Linked DNA regions of Drosophila melanogaster. The protein of the gene in region 2 interacts with the protein of the main gene of each other region in a pairwise test. Each region holds a gene or a part of one and is shown on either strand. Other genes may lie near its edges.

Region 1 (7,921 bases), on a different chromosome or scaffold from region 2:
ACAGTGCGCACGGGACGCGGTCCATTGACACCGACGCCATAGCTCTGGGCTAGCGTCAGCGAAAAGGCGATCAGCAGTATCCGGAGGGGCATCATAACCATTCCGCAGCAGAGTCGGATGGTAAATGTTCTGTTCGAACTAAGGGCAGCTGCTTATCAAGCAAGTTGGTTCCTGAGGCGTTGATAAGTGGCAGAGAGGCAGGCAGGCTGGCTGGCGGAGATCGAAGAGTGTGGACCGCGGCCTGGCTTTGTCTACTTGTTGACGACCAATTAAGAGCAAGGGTCTGTTGATATTTGGCCAGATGCGGCCTAACAATGCGGAATAATTTAATACGGTGACCCCGATCTAACGACACTTTCTTCGACGTCTCACTTCGGTAGCCAACTATCAACTGAAAACAGGCTTTTTAGCTTGGTGGCTTGAAGACGAGCAGGCAGAACGGCAGACAATGATTCAGGTTCATTGGCGGCAGGTGGTTTTCCCCCGATCTTTTTCGCACTCTTTACAGACTTCCGTCGACTGTTTGTCGTGGTCATTCAGGCGATATCCGAACTTTTTGTCTGCCCGTGTGACGGGTTCGGTCTGAAAATTGTTAACCAAATATTGTCTCTTGTAGTAAAGCCTCTTATATGGCTGGCAGCTAATGATGACAGTCGATCAATATTGATGGCAAGCTTCAGGGGTGGGCGGGCTTAGCTAACCAGCAATTAGCTTTTTACGACTTGCTAGCACTAATTGTATTTCGCACCGGCTAATCGAGAGAATCCATCATTGTTCGTTTCGTTGCAGCAAAGGGAGCAGCTGGATCGCCTTAAGAACGACCAGATCCACCAGGCTGAGTTCCACCACCAGCAGATCAAGGAGCACGAGGAGGCCATCCAGCGCCACAAGGAGTTCCTCGAGAACCTGCACAAGTGAGCGGTGATCCATCCACCGGCAGAAGGCGACCGCACGGACGGATGAACTCGAGACATTTACTAAAATGCATTTCACTCTCTTTTGTATGTTCCCAAGTGCTCACTACCACTTACCAGTAACCCAAAAATTATATATGTATTTGAAAAGTGCGTAATAAACCATCCATATTTTGAATGCTTTAACTAGAAGCTCATCTTTAGCTCGTGCTGGAACAGGTTACTAAAGTTTATGGCCGCTTCGTTACAGAACCAAAGCAATAAAGTTCGTTGATGTGTTTCTTTATAAGTTATTTTTCAATTCCTCTTCGTTAATAACTAAGGCCTTATCGCCTGCCGTTATAATCGACTAAAAATCAATTAACTTAAAAAGAATAACAACTTGTAAAAAATAGAATTTATGAAAAGAGTGTATATTTCACGTACAAGAAAACACAGTTATACGAACTATTGCGCGGTTTTTATAAATAAAGAAGTGCAATTTAAACGTATGCTGCATTATCTTCGAATAAAAACAAACTGTAGGGTGCTTAACTAAGCGTTTTTGCCCACAACATGAGGATTCCTCAAACACGAGCGGCTACTTAAAATGCTAAATCATTGCATAATTAGCAAGTTTGACCAGCTTTCATTCAGTTTTAGCGTGTAAACAGTTCATTATAGTAGTATTGTTAGAAAAAATTGAATACATCATACCTAGGAACTTTCTATATATCTATATTTAAAGAATTGAAAGGGCGTTCAACAGGCTTCCAAATATTTTTAAAGATAACCTGCGCCACCTGTGGAAAATATCTTGAACCAAGATGGTATTAAAAAACATGGAGGTAGGTATTATCAATTATAACTAATTAAATTGTTACTTTTGTGTGTATTAAATAAAAATTACATTGTACGTAACATTTATTTATGTTTATTAAAATTTTTCGTCACGTTCATAAACTTAATGACCCGCAGTTGCGTTCGTCCCTAATGAATACTGCGCTTGTTATCGATAACTCCCGAGGCTATCGGCAGTGTGACCGTTGAATGAACATCTGCAGACACGTATTTATTTAGATGTTTTTTAATTACAAATTGAATAGTGCTTAAACCAGGTAGCGCAACCAGTTGAAAAAGAGCGCAGCAGGCACTCGAAATGTTCGCCAACCTGAAGAACAAGCTGATCGAGGAGGTGAAGGCGTCGCCCTCGAAGTTCCAGCAATTTGCGAATGCTGCACAGGTATTTTTGTGTGCGGGGGCGGGGCGGTGCTTATTGCCGATGAAAAATGCAAATTGAGGAAAACATACGCACACAGACACGGAATTGCATGTGTGTCGGTGAACTGGGAAGGGGTCGCCTTCGATTGTGCGATTGTGACCCATTTCTGGGTGCACAAGTGAAAAGTGAAGTGACCAGCTGCTCATGAGTCTTCCTTGGACTTTTTTCCCAGGCCGCCGTGAGCTCATCGTCGAGCACAACACCCAATTCGGAAACGAACACCAGCAACAATGAGAACTTCTTCAGCATCACGGAGGAGGGTGAGTACGCCATGAGTCACCTGGGGTTCCTTATCTCACATATCAATCCATCTTTCACCGCGCAGACACACCTCAGAACTCGCCTTATCGCATCCAAAAGCTGCCGGCCACAAGTGCATCCGCTCTGCGCGGACGATCGACGCAATCCCTGAACGGCGCCACCTCCAGGACCCGCAAGCTCTCCAACTCGTCCATGGCCAGCGACGTGTCTTTCCGCCTGCCTACATATGAAGCGCCAGCTGTAAGTGGCCGAAAAGTCTCCGAGATTGCTTTAATTATGTGTTCTACTTTCCAGGTGTACCACTTGCAATCTGATCTGGACGAAACGAGCAGCGAGTTCGACGACTCCGCCTCAACGGCTCGTCTGGATGTGATCACCAAGGACCAGCTGTACGATGCGTACAAGAAGTCACTTGATCGTTACCACAAGTACCGCTGTCGGTACACGGATCTGGCCAAAAAGTACAAGGAACTGGAACGCGACAGCTCCAAGGCGCGGGTATCTATCTATCTGCCTATCTAATCGGTCTGCTTGATAAGCTTGTGTAACGAACATTTCCGATAATATCGCTTTGCAGTCTGTGCTGGTGGAGACGCAAGACAAGGCGCTGCGCCGAATCAGCGAGCTGAGGGAGCAGTGCACGCTGGAGCAGCAGGCCAAGGCGCATTTGGAGGAGGCTCTGCGCGTTGAGATGGACGACATGAGCTGCAAAATGCAGGCTTATCAGACGAAGCTCCAGCTGCTGGGCGAAAATCCTGAGAATATTACGGCGGCTCTGGAGAGAAGCGGCCAACAGCTGGAGTCCGAACAGCTAATCGACCTGGAGGAGTCGATCGGAAAGTCGCCCCTGTCCACCAATGGCAGTTCCGGTGTGTCCGACTTACAGAGATTACTTAAAGAGCGGGACGAGCAGCTGAAAAGTGTGACCGAAAAATACGAAGCTGTGCGCAAGCAGGAGGAGGAGAACGTGCTTCTTCTGGCCCAGACAAAGCAGGCCATCCATACGGAATTGGAGCTAAAGGACACCGAGGTGCGTAAGCTTCAGGAGAAACTCAAGCAATTGGAATCTCAGCGAGAGTCCCACAACAACGAAGTCAAGGAGCAGTTCAAAAAGCTTCAGGCCACGAAGCAGGAAGTCGATGCCAAACTTATGGCTACAGAGCACCTGCTGAACACCCTAAAAGAAAGCTATGCGATCAAGGAGCAACAGGTGGTCACACTCGAAGCGCAACTGGAAGCCATAAGGGTGGAAAACGAACAGAAAGTAAAAGATCTGCAGAAACAGAACGAAGATCGAAATACCCAAGCAAGCGATTCAAGCGAGCAACTAAAGAAACTTCAAGCAGCCGTTCAGGATGCGGAGTCCCAGCTTTTGTCCAAGGATCAGCTCTTGGAATCTCTCCGAAGCGAACAAGCAGCCAAGGAGCAGCAGCTAAAGCATCTGAAGGAGCAGTTGGGTAAACTGAAACAAGAAAACGAAAATTACTTAGATAAATTGCGAGAAAACAAGAAAAGTAGCGATTCTCAAACTAACGAAGCACAGGATCAGCAAAAGAAACTGCAAGCAGCCAAGGACGAAGCCGAATCGAAGCTCTTAGCCACGGAAGAACTTTTGCACTCCCTCAGGAATGATTATAAAGCACAGGAAGAGAAAGTCGCTTTGTTGGAAGACAAACTGAAAACTCTTTCCAAGGAAAACGATGTGAATGTAGAAAAATTGCACCACATTAATGAACAACGAGAAGCTCAAAGTACTGATTCCCAGCAGAAGATCAATGAACTACGTGCAGCTAAGGACGAAGCCGAAGCCAAACTTCTTTCCACTGAACACAGTTTGAACGCACTTCAGGCCGCACTCTCGGCCAAGGAAGAGCAAGCGGCATCCTTGGAGCAAAGCTTGAATGCGCTTAAAACCGAAAGTGAGCACAGTTTGCAGGACCTGCGCTTGCACAATGATCAGTTGCTCGAAATTGTCCAGCGTCATCAACAAAACGACTGGGAAGCTCAGCTCGCTCGGGCAAGAGAGGAATTGGCAGCCATTCAATCGCAACGGGAGCTCCATGCTCTCGAACTCGAGAAGAGCCTGGAAATGGAGCGCGAATCTGTGGCCGCTTTGAATTCCGAGAAAGCCTCCCAGGAGGAACAGCATAGGCTTAAGCTGGAACAGCTACAGCGAGAGATTCAAATACTACAAGATCAGCACGCGAACTCGGAGAGCGAAACAGTGGCTGCACTAAAAGGGCAGTTGGAGGCTCTTAGTCAGGACTTGGCCACCAGTCAGGCCAGTTTGTTGGCCAAGGAAAAGGAACTGAAAGCCAGCGGCAACAAGTTGAACAAGATAAAGAAGCAACACGAGCAGCACCAGGCGAAATCAAGCGATCAAAGCGCTCGCCTCGAAGCTCTGCAAAGTGAGTTGGCAGATCGACTGAGTCACTCTCGCCAGGTGGAGAGCGAAAAGGAGGAGCTGCAGGCACGCGTCACTGGAATTCTGGAGGAGATTGGCACCATGCAGGCGCAAATGCAACAGGTGCAAGACTCACACAGCGAGCTGGAACGGGAGAAGCGCAAGCTGGAATCCCGCATCGAGTCACTGCAGCAGGAGCAAGTGGACAGCAGTGCCCAGGACGAGAGGACCTCAGCTAAGCTGGAGGAGATCCAGAGCGAAAACACCAAGCTGGCCGAACGCAACTGTCTGCTGGAGGAGCAGACGAATCATTTGGAGTCCCAACTGCAAGCCAAACAAGACGAGATCGGCAAGATCCAGGCGAAGCTGCAACAGGTGCTCGACGAGCACTCGAAGCTGCAAAATGCCCAGGAGCTGATGGATCACGACCATCGGACGCTGCAGGATAAATGCGATGCCTACGAAAAGGATAAGCTGCTGACCAAACACACTCTGGACTGCCTGCAGTCGGCCAGTGAGGAGCTGCATAGGGTTAAGGCTAACTTAGATCGAGAACTGAAGGAGCAGGACCAACAACTGTCGGAGCTGAGAGAGCGACAAAGAGAACAGGAGCAGCAGCTGAAAGACCAAGCCGAACGATGCGCGAAATTGAAGGCCCAAAACAGCGAAAGTGAGACCCAACTGCAGGCCACGATCAGCAATCTTCGCGAGCAACTTGATGCTTATAAGCAGACAGAGCAGGGCATTCAGGAGAAACTGCAGGCTACCAATTCGTCCTACACCACGCAAATTGCCACATTGGAAGCTCGCTGGAGCGCCGCCAACTCAGACGTAGAGCGTCTTCACGAAGCCAATGATGCCCTGCAGCTGGAGATGGAACAGTTGAAGATTAAGCACGGCCAGGAACGCGAGGAGGTGAAGGAGTCAATTGCCCAGAAAAACCGTCAGGTGGTGGAGCTCCAAGAAGCCATGGCCACAAGGGATCGTCAGCTACAAGAAAAGATTGAAGCCTCCGAAAAATTGGCCAAATTCGATGAGATCCTGATCGAGAACGAGTATTTGAATAAGCACACGAAGCAATTGGAGGCCGAGTTGGCTGAGAGTGCGGAGCTGAAGGAGAAACTGAAATCCCTGCAATGTGAATTGTACGTTCTTCAGGAGAAGGCCGAGCAGCATGCCGTCCAAATGGCCGAAAAGGAAACGCAGAGTGCGACAGCAACGGCAGAGGTGTCCGAACTGAAGAAGGCCATCGAGGAACAGGCGGTGGAGCTGACCCGCCAGAAGGAGCACGCCAGCTTTGTCACCGAGCAGAGTGATGCGGTCCAAAAAGACCTTCTTCAAGCGCAGCAGCAACTCCACGATAAGCAAATCGAATTGGCAATGAGTCGGGATGAGCAGGCCTTGCTGCAGGCTGAAGCTGATGGCTTAAGGCAGGAGGTGATTTGCCTTAAGGAGCATTTATCCCCCTCAACCGACTCCGACAGCCTGCGCAGCCTGAACGAGCGACTGCAACGGGAGCTGGAGGATCTCAAGCACAAGAGCGCCGGTGCGGAGTCCAATATGCAGCAGGAGATCGAGGAGCTGCAGGCTAACAACCAGCAGATGGCGGAGCGCATCAACGAGCTGGAAACCCTGCGAGCCGGCATACAAGCCCAGCAACTCCTCGCCAGCATGGCGCCCAAAAACGTTCAGGAGGCAGCCGCTGCCGGCGAGAAGGCTGAACTGGAGTCTAAGCTCAAAGAGATTATGAACGAGGTGCAGGACGTGACGAATCGAAACCTGTTCCTGGAGCAAAAATGCGAGAACTTCCTCATACTCGAACAGTCCAACGAGCGACTTAAGCTGCAGAATGCGAAACTCTCGCGGCAACTGGATGAAACCCTGGTGAGTCCATAGCAGCGGTGCACCCACCCTTTGATTCCATTGCTGATTCCTTTCTCTTGCCGACAGGTATCCATGCAACACAGCGAGGCTGTTCCGGCCAACACGGAATTCGAGTACTTGCGCAACATCATGTTCCAGGTGGGGAATCAAACTAGATAATGTCCAAATATATACTCCCAACTAACTGATATATTCCATTTCAGTACCTAACTGGGAACACGAACAACGAGACGCTTGTCAAGGTGATATCGGCAGTGCTCAAATTTTCGCCGCAGCAGGCCCAAGTTGCACTGGAAAAGGAGCATCAGCGGCGATCGCTGGTAGGGAAGCCCATTTGAGTTCCATATTGCATCGTTAACTAACCCAATACAAACACTTGCAGCTGAACAAACTGATCTAGCATGAACTGATGGCTCTCTACGGCGGAGATTGGAACTGGGAGCCCTGCCCGGTGGCGCTTCTAGACCGCAAATGATGTCGGAGATCACAAGTACCTTATACTTATACCTCACCCTCGCGCACGGCATGGGTGCTTCCGGCTGACTCTGCAGGCATTTCGAGTAGTAGAAGCCGCTGATGTATGTGTATGCCGCATCCTAGATCCATGTTATTGTACAGTCCACGAATTAAGTATAGCTACTTCTGTCCAAATCCACGCTAAGCACTTTTGTACATTTTGATTACGCTTTCCTTTGTTTCATTCACTTGCTTGCGCTCCATGTCCCATGTCCACGACTTACCTTAACCCCAGCCTAACCTAAGTGCAATCGTTTTGTGTATTTTAGTTGTAAGTTTAAATTTGTAAAGATCCGCAGCGCAGTTGGCATTTAGTTTAATTCAAAATCTATACAATAACATACATAAATAAATAGTTACAATTCATAAAAGGGAATCTCAAATCTCTGTACGCCGCCCAGTGGCCGCCACGTGACGGAAGTGCCTCCTCCGTTTCGCAAAGCATCGAATCATGGCCCGCGTTAACGGGTCGAGCTCGTAGTTGGGCCTGTAGTCCTTCAGGGCATCCAGAGTGTACTTGAATCCGAATCTCTGCAGACGTAGGCTGGCCTTGACGGCCGCCAGTTGAACTCCGGATCGTGGCACTGCCACGAGAAGGCGCTTCAGGAAGCCTACGAAGGCGGAGATATCAGTATCCAGGGGCAGTGGCTTCAGTACCAAAGAGATGCAGTGCAGCAGAAG
Region 2 (4,430 bases):
ACCGATTTCTCTACTCTTCGCTATCGATCCACTCTAATTTATCGCTCGTCCCGCCAACACACCAAATAATAATCATAAAAAACCCAACACACGCTCTATAAATTAAATAATTCTTTGTCAAAGTGGCCGGACAACATTCTAATCCCATAAAAAAAACGACGCCCAAAAACTTCAGACTTGGTAGCGAAAAAAAAAAAAAAAACGATTGTGGAAATGAAAATGTTCCAAGAATCCCCGCAAAACTATTACGTAGATCAGAAACCAAAACAAGTATTATCTGAATGAGAGATCCGACAGATCTACATATTTCCCGTGTAAGAGAGGTCAGGTCAGATTTTCTTCCGCTTCATCTGAGCCACTCAATTTCCATGTACCTGCCTAATTGCCGAAAATCTTCTCACAACTTTGCATGTCTGGCGGGGTCAGGGCTTGGGACAATGCGTTTCGCACGTTTGGCAGCTTGGATTCAAGCTCGGGGCTAATTGCCAGCTAGGGCTTATCTAAATTGCCGCATTAGCCAAGAACTTGTGACTTGAGAGTTGGGAGTTGTTGTAATTAGCGGAGCTAAATGCTTGGTTGGCCACCAAGAATCCGCCAGAGATGTAGCTTTGGAGGAGTTGAGGCGAAGAGTTGCAGGGTTAATAAGTTAACTACTTGTTAATAACTTAATAATTATATAAGTTGCATTTAATTAAAACTAACGTAAATGCCATTTAGAAATTTTCATTTCTAACTCCGTTGCAGTAATAATACTTTATTCTTTGTAAATAAATAAGTAACAACTAGCTTAAAACTTTAAGAGCAATGTCTACTCCAAGTCCAATGTGGACACACTTTGATTTTGATTGGGCATGTCGGGGAATCGATGAAATAGGGACGACGAGGGTTTAGTTTGACTATCCAGTCGGGTCTCAAAGATCCCTCCCTCTGAGTTTATCAAGTACCAACTGGGCGTTGGCGTAGCTCGCTGCAGCTCCTCCTTGTTGAGACCACTAATGGGAGCCACAGTGGGTAGCTTTTTGGCCAAATCATCCAGCTGCTTGAGATAAACGTCCAAGGTGCGATAGTCCGTATTGTTGGCCACCTCGTCAGGTGCAATAAACCTTGGTCCCGCCAACTGATCGTGCTCCTGCCACAAGTTGCGTATATTTGTCATTACATCCGCATAGAGTATGGAGTCATCGTTGCGGCCCCAGTTGCTATTGCGGTTGTTATTTGGCGATTTGGATTTGGATTTGCGTGAATTCACCAGGCGACTGGCCAGCGGAGTTGCGGAAGTTTCCGCAAGTGAATTGGCACTTGAAAACACTGATTTGCCAGTGGTTGTTGTTGTCGTCGTTGTCGCCTTGGTTGTTGCTGCTGTTGTGGTTGTTGCCTCTTTATTCCGGAAGTTGCGCCGCCTCTCCTTTAATTTTTCCCGCTCTGCTGACTTGTCGTGCTGTTTGAAAAGTCTTTGGCGACGTCGCCGATTGTCGCAGTTGGTTGCATTGCTGCAAATTGATGACCTCTTCACCTCATTGGTGACGCCCTCGTCGGGTAGATATTGTGTTGCATTTTTCAGTAGATCCCCAATGTGGGCCACCAACTTCAGGCCCTTTTGTACATCATAAGGTTCCTTTGACTTTACAGGCACATCCCTTCGGTTTCTTTTACTTCTCTTAAGCTCCTGATTGCGACTTAACAGTGCTTTTAGTCTTTGCTGCTGGCTTCGATGGTAAAGTTGCTGTTCCAGGGCCTTTTGAGCTATCAACGTGTGACTTTGTCGCTGGATATGTCGTTGTCTTACCAGCGGAAACTTTGCCTTTTGTCTTTGCCGCTGCAATAGACGCTCTGTTTTCCGCACAGAGGCCAAGATTTCCACGGGTATTTGTAGCTGATTAGGACCATTTTGAATCTGGGTTTCTTGCGTGAGGAGGTCTCCTTGTGGCATGATTTTCAACCTATTGGTGGCCAATTTCCGTGGTTGCTCCCAAACCACAGGTGGATTGGAAGGTTGCCGTTGACGCAGACGTTTCAGCTGCTGAAAGTGCTGAGGAGGCTCAATAATCCTGATCACATCTCCCGCATCATCATCGACGTAACCAGGACGTATGTCCTGCAAATGCGGTGGAACCCTGTTCTCCGGTTTCTTGTGCTCGGGCTTCGATACTCTATAAAGAGGAGGACTTGGAGTGCTACTGGAATCTCCTTCCTTGCTCCCACTATCCACTTTTATCGCCTGGCTTAGTTGTAAATAGAAGAGGAGCAAAAAGTATGTCCTTAGCACAGCCATTGCACTTTTACTCTCTCTATCCCAAGGTCGGGGGAAATGCAACTTTTCACTTTCGCGTTCGACGGCCAACCGACAACTGTGCAGTAAGTGTGCTATCATTGTGGCTTTATAACATTTCCTCGCCGTTTTTCCAATTTTCCAGTTTGATCACCGCGCCACGAGCCTTTCTTTCTTTCTTTCTTTCGTGACGAGATAGATGTTTTTGAAGTCGTCATCGTCGTCGTCATCGGCCGTTTGTTAGCTTCGGCCGCAAATGAAAGCGAATCTGGCCAGCCGAAGTGACGTTGCAAGTAGCTGCCAGATGCAAGTTGCAACGTTCAACGTCCAATGTTATAACTGGTCAAAGTCGGGGCTCAAGCCGTGTTTCGCTTTAGAAACCCACTTTGCATACGCCACAACGGTGGCTTGGCACATTGCAACTTTCTGGTTGCTGTGCAGAAACTAGTTTCTGTCTTGAATTCAGTTTTCGATCGTGTGGGTAAGTGTTTTTATTTTCGCAGTCTCGAATCTCATTAGTGCCCGCCACTTGACCCTCAACTTGAACTTCGCCGAAAGCCACTGATTTGGTATTTGTGTCATTTGGGCGAAAGGCAGAGCGAACGGTGAATTAATTTATGCACTGTCCATTTAATTTGGGTGTTTTAAAAATATGGGGAATAATGCGGTCTTTAGATGGGAATGATTTATGCGGACTTTGATATTCTATGGGAATATCTAATAGGAATAAATATATTCATGAGATTTTTTGTGAGTGGAAAAAAAATTTTTGTTTCTGTTTGTAATTTTAATAAATTCTTTGACTCTTCAAGGTACGTAATTAATTGAATTTTTAAGTAAACTTTTCATTGCAAATAATTGTATTTAAATCTTCTTCCAAACATCTACATTTGATTAAGCTGCAAACTATTAAATACTACAAATGTCTATATTAGTCACGTTTTAAATTAAAAAGCACCATAATTAACATTGAATTGTAGGACTTTATTTAATTGCCTTGTACTTGAATTTATTACAAGATTATATTATCAATAAAACAAAACAGCTCTTTTAATGGCAATGCCGTTGCGCATGCCTGTTTTGTTAACAGAAGTCAGAATTTTAAAAAGCGCCTAAAAGATGCTATAATATTTGTTCTGTTAGCTTCAGTGTTAACAGAAGTACAGTGAGTGTAAAAGTAAACTCGACACATTTCTTAAAGAAACAAACACGTGTTAAGATTTCAATAAATTATATTTATTGCTAGAACTCTCGTGACAAACCAACCAAGCTTTTGACCAATTGAACCTCCCCCAAAAACGAGGTCATCTCTTAATCTTTGCACTACACACTACAAAATAAATAAATAAATAAACATAGTTGGTTAAACATTAGAGTGGGTTTTGGGATAAATGGGGTTGAGATTAGGAGCCAGGTAGACAAACTACAAGATTAGGCTCCTGGCGAGAACGGCAGAGACTACGAGCTAAGGCATCGGCGTTAATACGTTAGATTTCGGGGATTTGAGGACTTTGATTTTGATGGACTCATGCGACTTAAGCTACTCCACAACCATGGGCAGCCAGGCGTTATCGCTAGCGAAACCAGCACCACCACCCACAGCACCTGCACCACCCACGCCACCGTTATGTGCCCGGTAACCCATACGCCTCTCGTGCGTTTTGGGCACCGGAATGGGATGTTGGTAAACTCCAGTGATTGTCTCCATGCCCAAGCCCATGCCATTCTGTTGAGATTTGGGGGAATTCTGCGGGAATATACGCTGCTCCACTATGCGGGACTCTTCTGCGATGGAACTGACTGTAGCCGCCGCCTCCGCCTTGCGATTCTTCTCGAAGAAATCGATAATGGGGTGGTAGTTATAGTTAATCCTCTTGCCCGACATCTCGCTGCCACCACCGCTGGGGAAGATCGAGCTCACTGGATAGACTGCCGGCGGTTGTGGTAGTGACGTCGACTGATCCCGCTCCCACTGAGTGGTGCGCTCGGTCGAAAGGGACGACGCTGACCCGGTAACCACTGCTGTGTTGGTCGTCGTGGTGGCTGGTGGTGCATAGAAGCGGGGTCGCGATTTGCTGCCACCTTGCCGGTTGACTGGTGAAGATGGTGGTGAGGCTGTTGGTGGTGCGCCTGGTGGTGCGATGGCACCTGCTTGATGGGC

What was found.
Region 1: the proteins of CG13720 (region 2) and Golgin245 interact in a two-hybrid assay, tested with the Drosophila melanogaster proteins (one large-scale study listed by BioGRID).

What each region holds. Positions count from the first base shown.
Region 1 is NT_033778.4:23,371,046-23,378,966, reverse strand, and holds Golgin245 (Golgin-245), read left to right. Parts: upstream 1-1,921; 5' UTR 1,922-2,052; coding exon 2,053-2,136; intron 2,137-2,347; coding exon 2,348-2,435; intron 2,436-2,500; coding exon 2,501-2,676; intron 2,677-2,730; coding exon 2,731-2,934; intron 2,935-3,013; coding exon 3,014-6,724; intron 6,725-6,790; coding exon 6,791-6,862; intron 6,863-6,927; coding exon 6,928-7,044; intron 7,045-7,106; coding exon 7,107-7,124; 3' UTR 7,125-7,607; downstream 7,608-7,921. Other genes in the region: yellow-d, read right to left, coding at 1-101; CG13551 (uncharacterized protein), read left to right, coding at 790-918; Ice1 (uncharacterized protein), read right to left, coding at 7,619-7,921.
Region 2 is NT_037436.4:4,498,167-4,502,596, forward strand, and holds CG13720 (uncharacterized protein), read right to left. Parts: upstream 2,335-4,430; 5' UTR 2,273-2,334; coding exon 809-2,272; 3' UTR 690-808; downstream 1-689. Other genes in the region: NT1 (neurotrophin 1), read right to left, coding at 3,810-4,430.